2 linked regions of the Oryzias latipes genome follow. The protein of the gene in region 1 purifies or fractionates together with the protein of each later gene. This does not show direct contact. Links are inferred from orthologs where the notes say so. Each region holds a gene or a part of one and is shown in the gene's direction. Other genes may lie near its edges.

Evidence for each region.
Region 2: the proteins of ccnd1 (region 1) and cdk5 purify together in Homo sapiens (co-immunoprecipitation; 4 studies listed by BioGRID and IntAct, counting the BioPlex papers as one, with this or other methods). This does not show direct contact. The link is inferred for Oryzias latipes from reciprocal best matches to the Homo sapiens genes CCND1 and CDK5.

The regions. Positions count from the first base shown.
Region 1 is NC_019861.2:4,927,420-4,937,528, reverse strand, and holds the start of ccnd1 (G1/S-specific cyclin-D1), read left to right. Parts: upstream 1-4,758; 5' UTR 4,759-5,071; coding exon 5,072-5,269; intron 5,270-6,421; coding exon 6,422-6,637; intron 6,638-7,181; coding exon 7,182-7,341; intron 7,342-8,068; coding exon 8,069-8,217; intron 8,218-8,325; coding exon 8,326-8,481; 3' UTR 8,482-10,109. UniProt on the Homo sapiens protein: Regulatory component of the cyclin D1-CDK4 (DC) complex that phosphorylates and inhibits members of the retinoblastoma (RB) protein family including RB1 and regulates the cell-cycle during G(1)/S transition.
Region 2 is NC_019875.2:27,781,679-27,791,729, reverse strand, and holds the start of cdk5 (cyclin-dependent-like kinase 5), read left to right. Parts: upstream 1-4,705; 5' UTR 4,706-4,869; coding exon 4,870-4,906; intron 4,907-5,195; coding exon 5,196-5,284; intron 5,285-5,355; coding exon 5,356-5,423; intron 5,424-5,522; coding exon 5,523-5,583; intron 5,584-5,653; coding exon 5,654-5,710; intron 5,711-5,804; coding exon 5,805-5,900; intron 5,901-6,047; coding exon 6,048-6,122; intron 6,123-7,359; coding exon 7,360-7,456; intron 7,457-8,134; coding exon 8,135-8,204; intron 8,205-8,326; coding exon 8,327-8,387; intron 8,388-8,475; coding exon 8,476-8,556; intron 8,557-8,768; coding exon 8,769-8,855; 3' UTR 8,856-10,051. Other genes in the region: abcb8 (ATP-binding cassette sub-family B member 8, mitochondrial), read left to right, coding at 78-111, 187-323, 410-504, 586-719, 811-958, 1,032-1,282, 3,425-3,508. UniProt on the Homo sapiens protein: Proline-directed serine/threonine-protein kinase essential for neuronal cell cycle arrest and differentiation and may be involved in apoptotic cell death in neuronal diseases by triggering abortive cell cycle re-entry. Interacts with D1 and D3-type G1 cyclins.

The DNA.
Region 1 (10,109 bases):
GCCCTTGGCCCTACATGGCCTCTGAGCACCCACCCATCTTGCCAGAACAGAGGTGCTGTTAGGTCACTTTTTGTGCAGGACACACACACACACACAAATCGACCCCCACCTATCACTGTTCGTGGATCACTTCACAGGACAATCTCCCTATCCATCTTTGCGAGGTCATTGTGGACCTGCCCTCAGCTGAGAAAGGAGCTTCATTCACAGGGGAAAGCCCCTTCTTCTCTGCCTTCTCCCTTTCAGTGAGTGAAGGAAGCCCTCACACACTGCATGTGCTGTTGGAGGTCATATTTAGAATATGAAGAGGCACTAGGACTTCAAAGCTGGATGTAGAATGTGGGTGAAGACAAATGTCACCACTTCAACACTCCTGCAGACACACACAACCTCCTTTTAGTTATAGTTTGTAAAACTGACTGTTATGTTCCAGGAGATTTCCCAGCAAATAAACGAGAAAGGGAAATGTGCACAGGTGGATAATAGGACGAGTCATTAAGATAATTCACACACACCCACAAACAAAAGTATTGGTCAACGCTTGTGTTTGCAGGTATTAAAAGGATGTTTGCTCAAAGATGTGTCTACATCGCACTGAGATGGTGTTTCAGAACTTAACTAACCTGAAAAGAAACTCTTAAAGTCCATGAAAGCATTTCTTCTGAAAGATATACAATCAAACGACACACATGAATCTAATAGTGACGCAAACCAATGTACTAACTTTTTTCTTAAAGCATAAGCAGACTGGGGGACCACAGTGTTTACAAAGTCGTGGTTGACAACAACTAAAAGTCTGCCTCCATCAGGAGTCCTTCAATAAAGGGAAATTTTGGAAAAGCCCAGCATCGTTTTGTGTGCACTAACATCAGCTGGAGCAATGGCTCCTGCAATGGAGACCCCCCACCCCCCCCCCACCCCCCAAATGAAGTTCTTGCAACTAATCTTTACTTTGTTGGTCTTGAAACAGCTAAGAACTTGTGTTTGGTCACAAAGTTTAAATGGCAGGGTAGTCAAATTGAATGCCAAAATATAATTGAACAATGTCAACAATAAAAGGTTTTGATGAGAAGCTGGTGGAGACTTTTAGGAGTTCTTCACTTTAGCTTATGACATAAGACAAGGCCTTGCTAAAAAGTAATGCAACAGTTGTCTTGCTTCTCACCACCAGAACCTGATCTAGTTTAACTCAACAAGGAATCAAAGCATGCTTGCAAGCAGCTTTGGCATTTTTTCATTAAGTCTTAGAATGACCTCATCCATAATTCAATCCAACAAAAGTTTTTCAAAATGAAGCATTTTCATTTTACTAAAGGACTGTAGACTTTACATGGCTTGTGCCTTAGTCACATGGCGCTGGTTTTTGGCTTGTCCGGACCCAACACTCCTCATTTTAAAAAGACTGTCTTGAAGTTCCCTTGAGACTCATGTGGCCACCTTGAGGGATGTTATGAAAATGGAATGTACCATTATCATGAAGTATTTGTGACCATAGAGTAAGCAGTTATTACATCTGGGTGATGTTGTAATGCAGTACATTACGCCACACTGTAATTGTTAGTAAGGGTCTGCAGGTGATTTATAAGTGGCAGTAAGACACTCGCAGCAAGACTGTGAAAGGTGAACTGAGGGACCACTGTACAATGAAATACTATTGTTTTCTGTCATTAAAGTCTACAACAGAGATAAGACTTCACCCAAGCAACTCAAAGGTATATCATGCAAACCAAAATGGTGTTTTGGTTGATACATATTTTGCTTACTTCAAATTGCTGTTAACTAATTGCTGTTTTCAAGTTGGTGGATTGGAACTTAGAAAACTGTGGTGCAAATGTATGAATCCTGCTCATCTTGGCTAGACATTGCGATCTGGCAGAGTATTAAGCATTGACTGTATATAAAGAGCCGGACAAAGTGACCCCCCCCCCTTGCATTCCAACTAGGAAGTACCTGCAGGCTCCAAGAAGCCAAAATCCCATAAACTTCTATAGAGAAATGAACAGCTGTTACTCAGTCATTCTATTGATCAGAATTACCATTCTTGCTCTGATACCTTTTTAAACACGTTTTTGATGGTCCACTTGGTTTTTCATAACATTTTGTCTTCATCGCAAGTTATTTATTTATAAACTGATCAATAAGATGCCTCAGTAAAAGCATGTGGAGCCTGCCTGCCCCCACCTTGAACGCTTGAGTGACAGATTCTCCTGAGCCCTCTTTCGATGGGTGTGGACTTTGAACAAGCACACTCATGATTGGCGACAGTAGTTGCCATAGATACGTAGCATCAGAACAACTCGGACCAATCACTGTTGTCTGGGTCCAACAAAGCAACGTCCGTCTTGGAGAAAACTGGTGATTGAATTAGGTAAGGCATTTTCAATGCAACATTAAATCCACTCAATCCAGTTCCTGTAAACAGTCAATGGTATTAAGTTCTGTGCAGGATTCACATGTGTTCAGACTTGTTAGTCAGATCTGGTAATGCACGGCATAAAAGCACACTGAGAGGTTCATAACATAAAGGAAAACCACAAAGTGGGATTGACACTGCCTCTGTCTTTGTTGGTTAACCCCAACTGTTAACCATAAGATGAATCATAAAACACAGTGCAGCTTTTAACAGCAAATTGTCCATGGTTACATATTTGTATAGTTTTGATTCACCACCTCAGATTCTGATGTTTAGATGTCATGAAGGAGATCTACTTCATAAAATACTCGACATGCTAAAGTACAAAAACACACATCAAACCATTAAAGATCAGTTGGTTGCACTGGAAGTTTATAAAAAACTGACATTGTAAAACATGTTTGTTTTCTGATCACATCCTGTTACATTTTTATTTATTCTTTAATATAATTATATCGAAAAAGCAACTCTTTTTTTTTACATCAGTAACACTTGTATTGCTAAAAATGAGCAAATGATCAATTTTGCCTCACCAGTTGTTGGCTCTATAAGTAAACACTATTGGGAATTGCAAAGTCCTTTATGTTTTTATACTGCTGCCTCACAACATGTGTTCCTGTGTGTTCCTGTGGGGTAGGAAGCATTCTGCCAGTTGGTTTTAGGCCAACTCCCCACTGTCCCTTTAAACGTCTGTGCCGTTACCATAAAGCAGATAGAAGAGGCTCATGCCAAAAGTCACATGCTCCAGCTCCCTTTGTCTCCCACAGTAAGCCCCTGTCTTTCTTTACATGAGAGGGGGCTGAAAGGACTCAAATGAGAAATGTTTGTGTGAAGGAAATGAGGGGAAAAGAGGGAGAATGCTTTTTGCTATTGAAAGCAGTGTTAACGGTTCATAACTGGTTACGAAATAACACAAAAGCAACAGATAAAGTTTAGAAAATGTCTTAAAAGTAACAACAGAGGGCACATTTAAAAGATATAAAGTTGTATTAGAATTGGATATTAAGGGGATTTTGTTTGTGAAATGGGGTCACACAAAAAAGCCTTTCCATTAAATTATTAAAAATAAATGTTTTGAATCAGAAAATTCTGTTGCTCACGTTCATCACCTTATTCCATCAGAACTTTTGCAGAGGTAAGATTCCGGTTTCAGACCAACAATGCATGAACTACAACATCAAAAGCCGGACACTCAAAAAGTAGACAACGTTTAGAATATTTAAAAATAAAGGAACAGACATAAACGTTGAGAGGATTTCTCAGTATATCCTGGGATCTGCTCTTTATTCCTGCACAGGTAAATGAGGATTGTTTTTTGTCACACAGCAACTTTCACTTCAGATGTTTAGTCCTTAAAAAGCAGGAGACTGGGAATGTGTTGATGTGACTTTAAGCTCTTCCAGCACATGGACCCCCTCTTCAGGCTTTACGGTAGTCAACCAAACGGCCCAAAGTGGAATTTCAGGAATGCAAAAAGCTCTGATTCATATTGAAACTGGATTAAAAAGTGCTCTGTTTGTACTTTTTACATTTTCGTTAAAGTGCCTAAATGTATAATAAAGGACAGAAAGAGGCTTGTTCTACCTGATTTACAACTTATAAGACTGAAGAGAAAAAAGAGCTTCTTTTTTTTTTTACCATAGTGAACTCAGCATCAGGAAGTTGTCCACAAACACAAAACTGCAATGTTGACTTGGAAGTTTGTGTGAAAGGACTTTGTGAGGGTTATCAGGGTCAACTTTTTCAGAGCAATGAACTTTTCCCTACATGAAAGTTACACCAACATCTGCCTAGTAACAGCAATTCCTCCCATTGGTGCGACTCTAGTCTCCTCCTGTCTGTCTGAACGTCTCACAGGAATCTTTTGAGGTAAAGTCAGCTCCTGTCACGTTTTCAACCGAGCTGAGATTCGCAACTTCCAGAAGTTAAAAGAAGATGCTGATCTGGTTGAAATGACCTGAATCTGTTTCATGTGTCTGAAGTGGGGATGCAGTGTGCACGCGCCCTGAACCTGGTTCCTCTCTGACTGCTTGGATTCCAACCCTGTTTGCTTTCAGCCACAACGGTTGGTGGGATCTCCTGAATGGAGCAAACGGCGTGTCCCTGTCCTTTCGTGGAAACCTCATGTTGTCGGTTTCATTCAATCCCAGGAAGACATATGGTGGGGTGGGGGTTCGGGGGGGTGTAGGATCGCCACCGCCCCCTACCGACCAAAGGATGGAAGCGTTCGCCGGTGGGCCGGACCTCCCACCTCTCCACCAGAGCCCTCCCCCCGCACATACATATGGACATAAAACAATCCCTTCCGCGCGCTCCCCAGCAGACTGCATGTGTCTTTGATACCCCCCGCCCTAACAACCGCTGACGTCACCGCGCGCATCCACCGTTTCTCACCACCTCTCCACTGTGCGCTCTGCAGATCAACTTTGTGTGCGCGCGTGTTCGTGGTCGCGCACGCAACGCGCGCACGGATCGGGGGTTTTGTCTTCGAGAGCAGAGAGGTCTGGCCCTCAGAGGGCTCGCGCGACCGAAGGGGCAGCAGCACGCGGCAGCAGAAGCCACGCGAGAAGAAAGGGCGCTGAAAGTTGGTGTGTGCAGCCTCCTGCCCGCGGGAACACGGCCCGGACCGCCGGCGGACTCCGCTCTCGTCCTGCTACCATGGAGGAGCAGCTGCTGTGCTGCGAGGTGGACTCCATCCGGAGAGCCCACCAGGACGTCAACCTGCTGAACGAGCGCGTCCTGCGGACCATGCTGAAGGCGGAGGAAAACTACCTGCCGGCGCCCAACTACTTCAAGTGTGTTCAGAAGGACATCGCTCCCAACATGAGGAAGATTCTGGCCACCTGGATGTTAGAGGTATCAGCTCTGTGCGTCTAAGCTGCCAGCTGTTCTGACCGGAACCGCAGGTCACGCCAAAGTTTGGAGCGCCTCGCTCACGCCGCTTAGTTTCTTCACGCGGCTTGCTGCTCGCGTGAGGGTTGGCCTCCCTTCGGCTTCGGCCGCGCGCCTCTGATCATCCGCCGACTTCATTCCCCGTCAGCTCTTTTCCATTTCAGCTGATGTTTCGGTCCAACGGGACGTTTTCAGCGAAACGTTCCCGGTGTACACGTATGCAGCCCGGTGCGTGCCAGTTTCTGATTACGCGCCATCTTTGTTGCGGTGTTTGCGGAGCTTCGGGATCTGATTTGAATGATGTCATTTTAACAGAAATAACGGGGAACGGGCCGGTAAAGCGCGGACTTTGACACGAGAAGAGAATAAAGTTTGAAGCGGGATCGAAAGCTGGAGTTTGTTCGGCCTCCGGAGGCGCAGCCACGGCCACGAACTTCACGCCAAAAAACGCAGATTCCTTCGAAAATCCAAAGCGCAGACGGACCGGATCCGTCGGATCTGATACTCAGAAGCATTTCAAACATTTACATCAACTTTCAGTTCAAAAGTCTTTAGGTTAAATATTTTTAATTAATTTTTGAAATGTGGCATCGGGCTGTGCGAGCAGCGGCTGCAGCACGTGAAGAATCTTCGCCTAAAAAATAAAAATAAAAACCAATTTGTTCTCCAAACAAGACAAATGACATTATCATCCGATCAGGCGCGCCTTCAGCTTCATGTATCTGCTAAAATAAGCAGCCTGCGATTTTTGTTAATATTTTAAAGTGTTTTTTGAAAAGATGACGAAGTTGAAATTGGAGTGAAAGTTGCGTCGACGCCACCTTTGTGTCTCCGTCAGAACTGACTGTAAACTCATTCCCGCTGCAGCTTTCACCTGCTTTTCCAGCCTTTTCTTGAGAGTTGGTCTGTAGGTTTTAACAATTTTTTTCCACGTATTTTAAAAGCCGAAAAATGAAAGATGCTTTAGTTTTTCTAAATTAGTTGGAGAGGATCATAGTGTGCAGGATGGAAGACAGACTGCTTACAGAAAGTGAAATCATTGTTCCATTTGAACAGAAAGAAATGTCTCCATGCCAGTGTCGGCCTCTAAAACACTTTATTTTCTTTTTCTTTTAGGTCTGTGAGGAACAGAAATGCGAGGAGGAGGTTTTTCCGTTGGCAATGAACTATTTGGACAGATTTTTATCAGTGGAGCCCACCAGGAAAAGCAGACTCCAGCTGCTTGGAGCTACATGCATGTTTCTGGCATCTAAGATGAAGGAGACGGTACCATTGACTGCAGAGAAACTCTGTATCTACACAGACAACTCGGTCCAACCTGGAGAACTGCTGGTAATTAAGTTCTTGCAGACATGATGTTGCGTAACAATGGGAGAACATGACCAGAATGCCTGAAGGCCGCGTTGGCTGGAGGCAGGGCTCGGTCTGGGTTGCTGGTGCGCCGAGGCTGCAACATGTCAAGCATGCAGTCATGCTACTGATGTACGTTGTGGTTGAAATGTGCATGGAAGTCTGCTGCAGCGTTTGAATGACTGCCTGCACTTTCCCATGGAGACTGGAAGGCCTCTGATTTCATCAATGGTCTTTGGTGGCGTCTGCTAATTTGCAGTGACACCTAGTGGCCGTCAGACAGATGTGCAGACAGTAGAAAGATGTATGCTAGAAAAAAAGAAAATGTCTTGTTCTGTCATTCACTTTGTTTAGGTAGAACATTACAGCCTATTTATGCATAAGAAGGATTCAATATTGACTGCTGGGTCAGCCCTGTCAATTTAGAAACTATCATTGATGGCATTTGATGGAAAATTACATAAAGAAAAACAAATGTTTGTCAACCACAAAATGAAGCATTGCGTCTTCTCTGGTCCTTCCACAGCAAATGGAGCTGCTGGTTCTCAGCAAGCTGAAATGGGATCTGGCTTCTGTCACACCTCATGACTTCATCGAGCACTTCCTGTCCAAGCTGACAATCCACGCATCGACAAAGCAGATCCTCAGGAAACACGCCCAGACCTTTGTGGCTCTCTGCGCTACAGGTACTAGCTCTTTGTTACATGTCTATTGGTTTCTGGGTTGTTGCAGTTTATTAAAACACCAATCACATTTATAGATATTTAACTGGTTAAGATTGAATTAGCCCTAATAGTTGCAAACCACCATGCCGTCAAACAGCGGTGGGAAGTACCAGTGAGCTATTTAGGAAGTCATCTTTTGGTCAGCAAGCCCCAGTCAGTCAAACCTGACCTCACACAAACACATCAGTCGCATTTCATTCACAGTTTCCACGCTTTAACAACTGGGGTCTGGGCTTTTTCAAAAGTTTTTAAAGGCAATCAGGCATGGTCGTTTTCTGTTTATTATTAATGTAACTTATGAAACTTTGACCTCTATATATATGTCTGTCTCATAAGTAATACAATATTCCAAAAATATTTCAAATCAAACCATTACCCAAGTCCTGATAAATGGTAGAACGGATGGACGGCTTCCTTTCAGAGTCCTGACAATGTGGCTGCAAACCAAATTGATTTGAGTCAGCTTAGAAAATACATTGATCAAACTGGAGGAACTCCTCCTCCCTGTAGTGGTCAGCAGTTTTTGCGTCACGGTTAACTTGCTGTTCCGGTCAGGTCTTTGGTATTCGAACCCACAGCATAGGATGGTGATGCTGAAAGAACAGAAACAAACGTGCAAACATACGATGTGACGGAAAACGGCTTGCAGATACCCGAACCAAATGTGAACGTTCTTCTGCCTCTACAGATGTGAACTTTATAGCCAGTCCTCCATCAATGGTGGCAGCCGGCAGTGTGGTGGCAGCTGTTCAAGGACTCTACTTGAAAAGCCAAGATGCCTCCTTGTCCTCTCAGAACCTGACTAACTTCCTGTCTCAGGTCATCCGCAGTGACCCGGTATGGAAAACCCCTCGCACTGTCTAACCTCTAACCCTGAAGAGGGCTCGTGTCTTTGCTGTTGCGCAGTGGCAGCACGTTTTTTTCTGACCAGTTGTTTGTTTGCAGGACTGTTTGCGGTCGTGTCAGGAGCAGATTGAGTCTCTGCTGGAGTCCAGCCTGCGGCAGGCGCAGCAGCATGGCAGCGTGACGGAAGCCAAGCGTGTGGATGAAGAGGTGGACCTGTCCTGCACGCCAACAGACGTGCGGGACATCAACATTTGAGATGGTCACCAGCATGTCCTAATCCCAGTGTTGGGAGAACTCTGTTGTTAGAAGATGGGCAAGCAAAGAAGGGGGGGCCTGATTACTGCCTCCCCTCCTCTCTTCCTCGGTTGCCTGGTGCGCAGCTGCTTCAACGGATGTCACTCACTTGTCCACCACGACTGCCAAGGCAAGGTGGCGCACCCTTCTTGCCATGCAGCGCACCTCCCACCACATTCCTTGCCAGTGTCCCCTCCAATCCTGGACATAGACCAGAACACTAGACATGGACAAGTGAGAAACGCGCACCGGTGACCCGTGTGGGCAGGAGTCAGAGCCACACAAACTGATTCTTTTGGTTCTTATCCTCCATTTCAAACTAGGAATCTTTTAAATTGCTGTGGACTGATGATGACTACTTAAGGATCCCAAAGTGTGGTGTTCAGTAGGCCTTCACAGTCTGTCCACCTGAAACCCAACATTTATCAAAGCAAAGATGCTGTTTTGAACCAGTTTCTTTTGTTTAGAATGAGTTAGGCTTTTTCTAAGTCCCCGTGTTTGTCTTGTAGTTCAGGCATCCATTTACCCCATGCTTGTTTATGTTTAGTCACTTTATTATATTATTTAGCCTTATACCTCTTTTGTTCTAAGCTTTTGGGTAGTTTTTAAAACCCGTCTGTGAGTGAAGTTGTGTTTTTGTCTGCTGCTGGTGTGGACAAACGCTAGTCTTTCTTGATGATTCATTTGACCCGTTTCCGCTTGCAGCAATTGATCAAATCAAGTCAGTGCTAATGCGAGCAGAGCTGTCCAGACTCTGATGGTTTCTTCTTTTGTGTAGTTAGATCTAATACCATTCCAATGTATTGTTTTCAAGAAAGAAGCACTTTTGGTCAGCCGTGCTGGCTCAACTGAAAGAAAAATCGTGGTGGTAGAGTTTGCAATGGAACCCGAGGTTGGTGATGCAGTGGTCGAGCAGCTGGTTCAGATTCATCAGATGGGACAAAGAATTGACCAGTGTTGCAGATAGACTTGTTTTTATGTCTGGGAAAGGCCCGTCATAGCAGCCTTCCTGTCCTGCTAGTTTCACTTGTGCAGTGTTAGTTCAGGCAGAGCCGCCCTGAGCTTTTCACAGGTTCACTACAACTGCAAGCATGTAGAGCCAAAGGCTAAATCTGAGGAGGTAAAAGGATTATTTTTATAGCTAAAGTAATGCTTTATATTCCATATCGTAAAACCTATTTATTTTTACAACTTTCAATTGTGGCTCCGCCCACTTGTGCAGATGTTTGCCAATGAAATGCTGTAAAACCGTAAGCTTGAGTTGACCTGAACCACCAGGACGGCATCCCTCCATACTCCTCCTCACTTCAAATACTGCTCATGGATTATGAAAAATGGATCAAGTTGAAGAAAGGGGAGCGATGAGAATATGAGATGATTTTTGCACAAACCTTAAGGACGTGGGCGGGGCTTCTCTTGGACTTGCCTCAAAAACTGGTGGAGAGTATAGTGGGCAACAGTTTGAAGTGTCAAAAATGAAACAAAGAGGAGAAAGGCTCATCAGAAACTGCTTTAGAGTGGTTGGGGCTTCGTCCCATAAAGAGGAGGCATTTCTGCTCAGATGGACATTCACTTTATAAGGAATGAGG
Region 2 (10,051 bases), on another chromosome or scaffold:
CAAAAGATGATTGCAGTGGGTGTTTAGTTTGGTAAAGAAAGTGTTTTCACTATTGCATGCATTCTCTTTCTGCACAGGTCTTTGGCAAGCATCTCCATCCTTTTTGGACAGGTGAGTAGTAGTTCATCCCATGTAGACTTTAATAAAAACCAATATTTATTATTATAATTTTCTTATTAATTGCAGATGGTGAGAGGAATAAGCTCTGGGGCCCGGGTATTTGAATACCTTTCTCTGCAGCCCTCCATCCCCCTCTGTGGGGGAGGACGCATCCCACATCATTCTCTGATGGGAAGGGTGGACTTTATGAACATTTCATTCAGGTTAGAATCATCTTAGATAATGGAATCAAGATATTTAAATGCATTAACTTATATGAAATGTTTACCTGTTGTGTGTGTATTGAAAGTTATCCAACAAGACCTGGACATGAAGTCTTAAAGAAGTTTAACCTGATGCTGCCACCATCTAAGACCATCGCTATCGTTGGAGAATCTGGAGGAGGTGAATTTTTATTATTAGAATTTTTAATGTCTGACATATAAACATAGAAGCAATTAACCTTAAAAATATCATGTTTTTTAGGAAAGTCTACAGTAGCAGCCCTGCTGGAGCGCTTTTATGACCCATCCAGTGGTGTAATCATGCTGGATGGCCTCGATATTCGAACTCTCGACCTGTCTTGGCTCAGAGGGCAAGTCATTGGATTTATCAATCAGGTAAATGCTGGCACCCACTTTTTTTCATAACAAATGTTTTTAAGTTGATTGGTTTCCCATTTTCTTTATTCACTGCACTTTTTTCCCGTAGGAACCAGTTTTGTTTGGATCGTCCATCATGGAAAACATTCGTTTCGGGAAGCCAGAAGCCACCGATGCTGAAGTCATTGAAGCATCAAAGCAAGCCAACGCATACGGCTTCATTACAAGTTTCCCAGAAGGCTTCAACACCCTGGTTGGTACGTGATGGGAATCAATCTCACACGCTTATGCGATCACTGTCAAGTCTAAGCTCCGGGTTTCTGTCGTCAGGTGAGAGAGGCGCTACGCTATCGGGTGGGCAGAAACAACGCATCGCCATCGCCCGCGCGTTGATCAAAAACCCCAGCATCCTGGTACTGGATGAAGCCACCAGCGCTCTGGATGCAGAGTCAGAGAGAGTGGTGCAGGAGGCTCTGGACAGGGCCACAAGAGGTCGCACCGTGCTAATTATTGCCCACAGACTGAGCACAATCCAGCGGGCTGACCTTATCTGTGTTATGAGTAATGGACGCATTGTGGAGGTGAGGGATAATTATGCCAAATAAGTAAATTAGCCTTCTGTCTACTACAGCAGTGCATAGACTCTAAGACTTAGAGTAAGTCTTTTCGGATTAAGGTTCCTTTTATTGTGGGCTTCTGTTCATCAGAGCAGCTGGACTTCAAAGGCTCGTCTAAGTTGCTGTTGTTGCTATGCAGCATCTTTATGACTCAAGAACTCAGAATGACATATTTTAGATCATTTTAAGAATTGCATTCCTCTGAACAAAAACAAAGACTCCAAAATCCAAATACATCAGACCAGAAGGGAAATGTATTCTAATTTGAATCCTGCAAATGGTTGCCATAGTAACTTTGCCAATTAAGGCTAAATCCAAATTCAATGTTGTCGGAAATTTGAAAAAAACGTATTTCACTACGCTCTGCTTGGACAGGGCCACAAGAGGTCGCACTGTATATTTTGGGAGCGTTTGTTTGGAGGTATAAGTATATTGGAGGGCACATCTGAAATTCAGACATCAGACACTTATTCACTGTGCCCTTAATCTGAGAAATCAACAGTTTAGGACAGGGGTGGGCAAACCGCGGCCCGCGGGCTGGATCCGGCCCGCCTCAATGTTTGGTCCGGCCCACTGAACAATATCAGAGACCCATGTTTTTTGTTTTGTTTTTTTAATCTGGCCACACGATCAAGAACTGACATTTTAGTCCCCCCTTCTGCAGTCTGTGCTCCAATCTGAAACCCTCTAAAAGTCTCTGTCAAACAGAACAGAAGACAGTCTTCCCTTTCTACGTCGCAGTTCATCTTTCCCGGTTTAGCTCATTTTTTTTAGAGCGATCATGCTGCGTTTTTTAAACAGTGCACCCTGTTCTGTGTCCTGATTGGCTGGAGACCTTGTCATTCAATCTCCTCAGTCTCCTGTACAGAAAGGCGGAGCTCTTCAGATCAGAAATCTTTGATGATCTCATCTTTGTTTTCATTCTATGATCCTGGACCTAATTTCTATGAAAGTTTGAGAATTTAAACAAAAGACAAGGGTGAAAATGTTCATGTCTGTGTGAGAAAAGTGTAATTAGCAGTGAGGAGTTTTGATGCCATAAACGTCTGTAATCAGACTCCGTGGATTTCACCGATCACTGTTATTTTTAGAACTCCTGCAATAAACGAGGGAACTCTGTACTGGTGAAAAGGTAACACAGATATGCGTAGCTGCAGCAGAAGACAGAGACATTAGCTTTTTTCATTGTTACTGGATGAGAAACAGACGTGCAGGACACAGAACAGCTATGCAAACTGCTGAGCCTCAGCGCTCAAAGTCTTTATTAGGATTATGACGGGAGAGGATCCACTATTTATTGTTTAATGTTTTTTTTATGTATCAGTATATTTTTCCTGAATTTTTGTCTTTGAAAATCATAGAGTGTTATTTGGTTATTGTTTTATTTCATAAATAGTGTTATTTATTTTATTAAAAGCGCCATAAATGAATGAAACTTTATTCACACAGCACTTTACAACTCCTTGAAGATACCAAAGGGCTTCACAATAAAAAATAGAAAATAGGAACAAAGGTTTTAAACTAATAACTCTAGAATATTCTGTTGTAGAATATAATTTTCAATCCAAAAGTTTTCATCTACATTCCATGTTATATCATTCTCACTGCACACATCTGCTTGTGGTCCAGCCCTTCTATCGAATTTTAGAAACCAAAGTGGCCCGTGAGTTAAAATAATTGCCCACCCCTGGTTTAGGAGGTTTGTTTTTGAGGAACAGACTGATGAAAGTTATCAAAAATGTTTGCACATCAGACAGTTTTTTAGCTGCAACTTCCCCAAGACTGAGGTTGGATTGTTACATTGAATGCAAGTATAACTACTATTATTATTTATCAGGTTCCTGAGGATTATTCTAGTTAAAGGTGAAATTTAAGATAAAATAACATTTATGAGTAATTTAAAACTTATTAGAATAAGACATTAAAAAATATCCAACTAGCATTGGTTTACTGGACTGTTCAGCCAATTTTAATTCCACCTTGTATTGCTGTTGCTTCATCAGTAACATGCATGGCCTTTGTGATAATCAGCTGAGCACTGTTAAATTTTCTTTTTAGCTTCAATTTTTCATCTTATCCACAAACTATTTTTTAATTTTCTTTCAGGCCGGAACACACCTGGAACTGCTGAGCAAAGGAGGTATTTACTCCGATCTGATCCGCAGACAGAGAGCTGAGGAGAAGAAATGAAAACGGAAGAACTTTTTCTTTATGTAGATCAACTATAAACAGATTTAATAAATGCATTGGGGTAATTGAGGTGTAAATGTTTACTTTTTGTCTTTAGAAACCTAAGAAATCCCTCTTTGTGTTAAATCATAAATAGACCAACCTGTGTTAGTTAAGCTACAGCATTGTAAACATGTTACTTTTAACTAACGTGACAATAATTTATTTTTTTTCCCTTGTGAGAAGCTTCAATAACTGTGAAAACAATAAAAGTTGATTTGACTGAAAACAAGATTTTTCATTATCTTTTTTCTGAATTTTCTTAATTGACAACCATCCACTTAAGATAAATGACATAAAGCTCATATGAGCTTTTCTACTTATATTTACAAAGCCCTGCTAGTTTTTCTTATTTTGGACGATTTCTAATTTTAGTTATTCATTATTTTATTGAACCCACTTTGAGTTATTGTCTTTAACAGCCCATTTTATTAGGTCATTTCTTTTTTAATCTTGCAGCTGAAGTCTACATACTAGCATAAAAGCTTCATGTATTTGCTATCCTTACTCAAATTTATTACATGGATGATAAAATTGACCACATGTGACATAAACTGAACAAATCAGCACAAGGCTTGCAGCTGATGTGTTTGCAGTTTGACTTTTGATTTGGAAGGGTATTTTTTAAATTAATAATTGATACAAAAAGAAGATTATTGGAGTCAAATTTAAAAGCTGTTTTTAGCATTTTAATTAATTTAATTAATGTAGTACTACATTAATAGAGCAAAAGTTATTATTTTAACTTCACTTTATCGAATAATTTAAACAATATTCTTTAAAACAATAGTAAAAAATCCATTATTTTTTATTTGGTTGTGTGTTGTTTTGCATTTACTGAGATTTAAGGACTTCAAACTTTGTTCCCCCGTAAATACCTTAAGTGTTTCAATATATGCACATTCAAAATGACAAAATATTGGTCCATCCAGTCCATTTCTGTTGCATAATTAAAAGTAAAAGTCAATACATTTTTAATTATGCAATAGAAATGCTACCATACCAGTCACGGGAAATCACAAATCATTAAAAATAAATAAATAAATAAATAAATAAATAAATAAATAAATAAATAAATAAATAAATAAATAAATAAATAAAGGGGGTAGTGCTGCTGCACGTCAGAAAGCTGCAGCGCACCTCCAAGCCTCTAGATGGCCATCAGGCACAAAATTGCAGTAGGACTGTCTGCGAGCGAAGCAGCAAGTGTCGATAAAGGCTAACGGTTGGAGCTAACCTGTGTTTGTATCCACCCCAGTTTTGGGGTGTTAGTTCGATATTAGTTTTCTGGCTTTTTTTGGGCCGGTTTTATTTGCCAAAAGATGCAGAAATATGAAAAGCTTGAGAAAATAGGAGAGGGTAAGTTTATATTAAATCTTTAAAAAATAGCGCTAGCTAGTTTTAGCTAATGCTAGCAAGCATACCGATTTATGTTTTTAATATTCTGTTTTATAAAATCAATACTCTTACCATCATATACCTGAGAAAACATTTTTTTGCATGGATTTTAAACAAGTTATTGCTCCAAGATTTGTTATGTTTTAGCTTTAATGTTTTAAACATTGAAATAAATGAATAGTTACTTAGCTCTTTTGTCATTCGGAAACTTTACCAAATTAAAATGATCGAACTGTAATTTTCTTTGTAGGTACTTATGGGACTGTTTTCAAGGCTAAAAACAGAGAAACACACGAAATTGTGGCTTTAAAAAGAGTCAGACTAGACGATGACGATGAGGTTTGTAAACACAGTTGACAGATGTAGTTTTAGCAAGCTAAGTAACACTGACACAAATCATTCCTTTTCAGGGGGTTCCGAGTTCTGCTTTGAGGGAAATATGTCTTTTGAAGGAACTAAAGCATAAAAACATTGTCAGGTCAGTTCAATGTCAATATTATAGTTTTAATTAAACGGTGAATTACATCGTAGTATAAATAAGGACAGTAACCATCACGGCTTTTTCTGTTATCATCAGATTACACGATGTGTTGCACAGTGACAAGAAGTTAACCCTGGTCTTTGAGTATTGTGATCAGGTGAGTTACTACTTAAAGTACATTTCTCTGATCCCTTTCAAATCTAATGTGTATCACACATTTAATGCAGGATTTGAAGAAATATTTTGACAGCTGCAATGGAGATCTAGATCCTGAAACTGTGAAGGTTAGAGATAAATCTTCAGCTCTTTTGAGTTATAACATCCTGTAGTAACAATCTATATATGCTGAACCGTAAATACACATCTGTTTCTTTGCAGTCATTCATGTACCAGCTGTTGAAAGGTCTAGCTTTCTGTCACAGTCGAAATGTCCTTCATAGAGACCTGAAGCCTCAGAATCTCCTCATTAACAGAGTGAGTGTTTACTCATATTTGGATACTGATTTTACTACGGCATCTGTGTTCTACAGTAAATGAGTAGTTTGAGTATTTGTGTAATGTTAGTCTGTCTGAAGCAAATAAACGATAGTAATAATGGCTTTTTTTTCTCTGCTTGTGCAGAATGGAGAGTTGAAGCTTGCTGATTTTGGGCTGGCCCGAGCTTTTGGTATTCCAGTGAGGTGTTACTCTGCAGAGGTTGGTTGTATCTTATGGCACCAGAAGCTAATAAGTGACCACTTGTGGTAAAAATTGTAGGACTTGAATATGCAGATATTTTGGCTTCTTTTTTTTTAAAATTATTTGAAGAGTAAGGAGTTTTGTTCGAAGCAATTTGACTAATAATTTAACTATTAAGAAATAGCCAGGCAGGAATGGTTATGCTGAGGCTCTCTGTGGTTTAGTAAAATAACGGTCATGTTCTAAGATTGTCGTGGTGCCTTTAACACCGTCGGGTAACGCGAGTGGGCAGGAGGTAGAAAGGAGCGTGAACGCCCAAAAAAAACCTTTTTTTTTCTTAGACTAAAACCACCCATTTCTGCATAAAATTAATTAAATTTGCGTTAGGACACTCCTACTATCCTGTGAACTATCTGTTACAATGACCCTATGTAGACAGGAGTCTGCATCAAAGTGAATTTGTTTCCATCATCTCACTCATCTTAATTCTGGGTGTTTGACAGACAGAAGTCTATTCAAGGTTGTGTAAAATGGTCAAAAGATCAAAGGAAAGATAACGCTCATAAATAATTAAAATAAATAATTAAATAAATATCCTGACAGCATTTTGAATCAATACATGTATTGCCAAATGAACTATCGCAATATTTCGGCGAAACCATTTTTTTTCCAACCCCCCTTAGTGTTGCAGCTCCCTGTGCTTTCATTTCTGTGGGAAACTGACCCTAATGGCTCTTTGAGAGGTACATGTTTGCAGACCCCTGAGTTCGAGTTTTGGTTTTAGTTTTCTGCATCATTCAGTCTTACCAAAAATGAAATGAGAGCAAAGCAAGTCGTTTCGGTTAATGAAATTATATTTTTCAACTTATTTTATTTGTGAAATGGCCTTTAAGGACAGAGTTGTGTTTCAGTCACATCGTTTACATCTGCAATTAGGGTGGTTTTTGCACATTTTTAGCTGAAAAACAGCGACTTTTAAACAGCGCTCACTCTTTAAAATGCAGAAGATTTCAGTTGTTGCTTTATATTTAGTCCTTCTGCTGAACAGTGCCCTTTTGTCTGCAGTATTTGAACAAAATATGGGGGGGAAATGCCTGCATAAATATAATTAGTTCTGTAGAAGATGTGCTTGTTTTGTACTTACAACTGAATCTCATTTATGAATCCAGCTCAGAGGCACGGCGGCGCACAGAACCATGTCTGTAGTACTTTCCTTGTTTTTCAGTGCTTCTGAACTTCAGTGTAATTTTTGCAGGTGGTGACTTTGTGGTACCGACCTCCAGATGTGCTGTTTGGTGCTAAACTTTATTCTACCTCCATTGACATGTGGTCAGCTGGATGCATTTTTGCAGGTTAGTGTGTAATTTGTGACTTGATTTAAATAGGAGATAAATCTTAACTATATGCATTATAATAGATGTCTATTTCAAATCGGCTAGAACACGGATCATTTAAATCTGCCCGTGTCCAGAAAACATTTTGTGTTATTTTTTATTTTAAACTGACTGTCCCTTTAATAACAACCGGAATTGATTTGTTTTATTTTGCCTTAAAGGAGGAACGCTTTTCTCTCCAAATATGTATGCATTTCCTGAATTATGCCTGTTTACATCCTCTGTCCTCCACTGAATGTAAATGTATGCAATGTCTGGAATTGGGTTTTGCATAAGTAAATGATCATACTGCGGTGGTGAAAAAGACGTCAGCATCGAGCACATAAATATCAAACACAGGTTTTCTTGTACTCTAGTTGGGATATTGTCTTCTGCAATTAATGTAAATCTATAGGATCAACGTATCAGCTGTGTAGGATGGTTTACATTCAGCCTTGCTGCCAGCTACAAAGCATTTCATGTGTTGGAGATTCAAAAAAAGAAAGGAAAATGGTGGAGCCGTGGGCTTAAATATAGAAGCTCTGAACCTGGGATTAAAAGATGTGATCAGCTGTCTAGCACTTCCTGTTTTGTCTAACATATGATGCATTTTTAGAAACCAGATGAAACCTCATTGCTTATTCTGCCGTGTTTCAGAACTGGCAAACGCCGGGCGCCCTTTATTCCCAGGCAATGATGTCGACGACCAATTAAAAAGGATCTTCAGATATCCTTTCTTTTTTTCTTTCAATATTTTTACATGCACTGTCAGTAAAAAGCCAATTATTCCCATTGTATGATAATAATAATCTGCTTTGAGAAACATTCTTCTTTAAGTGTTTTTGATACATTGTTGGGTACACCAACGGAGGAGCAGTGGCCAACAATGACAAAACTTCCAGATTACAAGGTAAATTAATTCATCCAACTTTTATATCAATTTACTTTCTGAATCAACTGCTAACAATTTTCTTTTTTTTTGTTTGTTTTCTTGCCAGCCATATCCTATGTATCCAGCAACCACCTCACTGGTTAACGTGGTTCCAAAACTAAGTAATACAGGACGGGATTTACTACAGGTACTCCAAACGGGCCTCTTTTTTATATATTGAGTTATTATAGGGGGTTTCATTTTAATGTGATCTTTGAGGAGTTTACATGTTACGCTGTTTAAAATCCTGTACTTCACTTCACTCACTTGAGTTGACGTAGTGATACTTGGAATTTGTTTTGGGTTTTTTTCTAAGAATGTTTTTCGCTCATTAAAGTTTTTGTCTTTGATCTTATCCAGAATCTGTTGAAATGTAATCCTGTCCAGAGGATCTCTGCAGAGGAAGCCTTGCAGCACCCTTACTTTGCCGATTTCTGCCCACCATAAAGGCTGCGCTGCCCCCGCCGAGCTGGAGCTGCAAGAATGAATAAATAATCCTTCAACCTGTCTGGTAGTTAGGACTCATTCAAATAAGGCAAATCCCCCGACTGGCTTTCAAACGCTTCGCTTTTGCCTCTGTGTGAAGCAAAGCCTCAGTGGTACTTTATTTTTTATTTTTTTTTACATTGGAACCATTTTATACATGCTTCCTGATTTACAACATTAGATACATTCTATAGTCTTTAATTTATTTCTCTTTTTTCCCCCCTCCAAAATCAATTTAAGACCATAAAATAAAGAGAAAAATTGCAAGTTGCAGTGTTTACAGTTCACTTCATAACATGGTACCAGTTTGCCATGAGCTAAATTACTTTAAAACCTAAAGCATTGGCTTTTCAAATGAGGTGAACTCATTTTGAGTCCTCATGCAAAAGCAAAGAAATGAAACCCTGCAGGAAATGAGTCTGAAAAAACTGGATGTCATTGGAGATGTTTCGGACGAATCGGAACATTTTTTTTATTAAATACCTTCCTGTCCAGTAATTAACTAAGACAGCTACTTTTAATCGTTGTAGACGGCGGGTTTACACGACAGACAAATGTCAGTTAGTAACTGAAAAATGCTTCACCTTTTTGTTTAGGTTTAGAGCTTTTTTTCCTGTTATTTGGGTTTCATCAAAGCAAAACGGAACAAAAGACCTTCAGAGAAAATGTTTTGTTTCTGAAAACTGAAACTGCAACCAAATATTCGGCCTCTATTTATGAACACAGATTATTAAACCGCTTACACTACCCCCTTCATCCTTTTCTTTCATCTCTGATCCCAGTTTTCTTTATTCCCAGAAAAAGGAACTTTTCATTCTTTTGGTCTGGCTTTTGATTTTCCGTTTTGTATGGTTTTGGGGCACTTTGTCACAGAATAGACATGCTAAACGCTGGCAGTCCAGATTACAGCTAATCCTCAATAAAAAGCCTTTTATATATTTAAATGACCAATAGTGACACATTGCTTTTTTTTATCATGTTTATATGGTTTACTGGAATGCTTTTATAATTATAAATGGCAAAAAAAATCACTAGTTTTTATTTCCATGTTACACAACTGTCATAGTAACATTAACTTGCTGCATTTTTTTTTAAAATTTCAAATTTAACTGCTTTTTTTCTTATAAAAGTGAAAATACTGAGTGCAATCTGAAGCA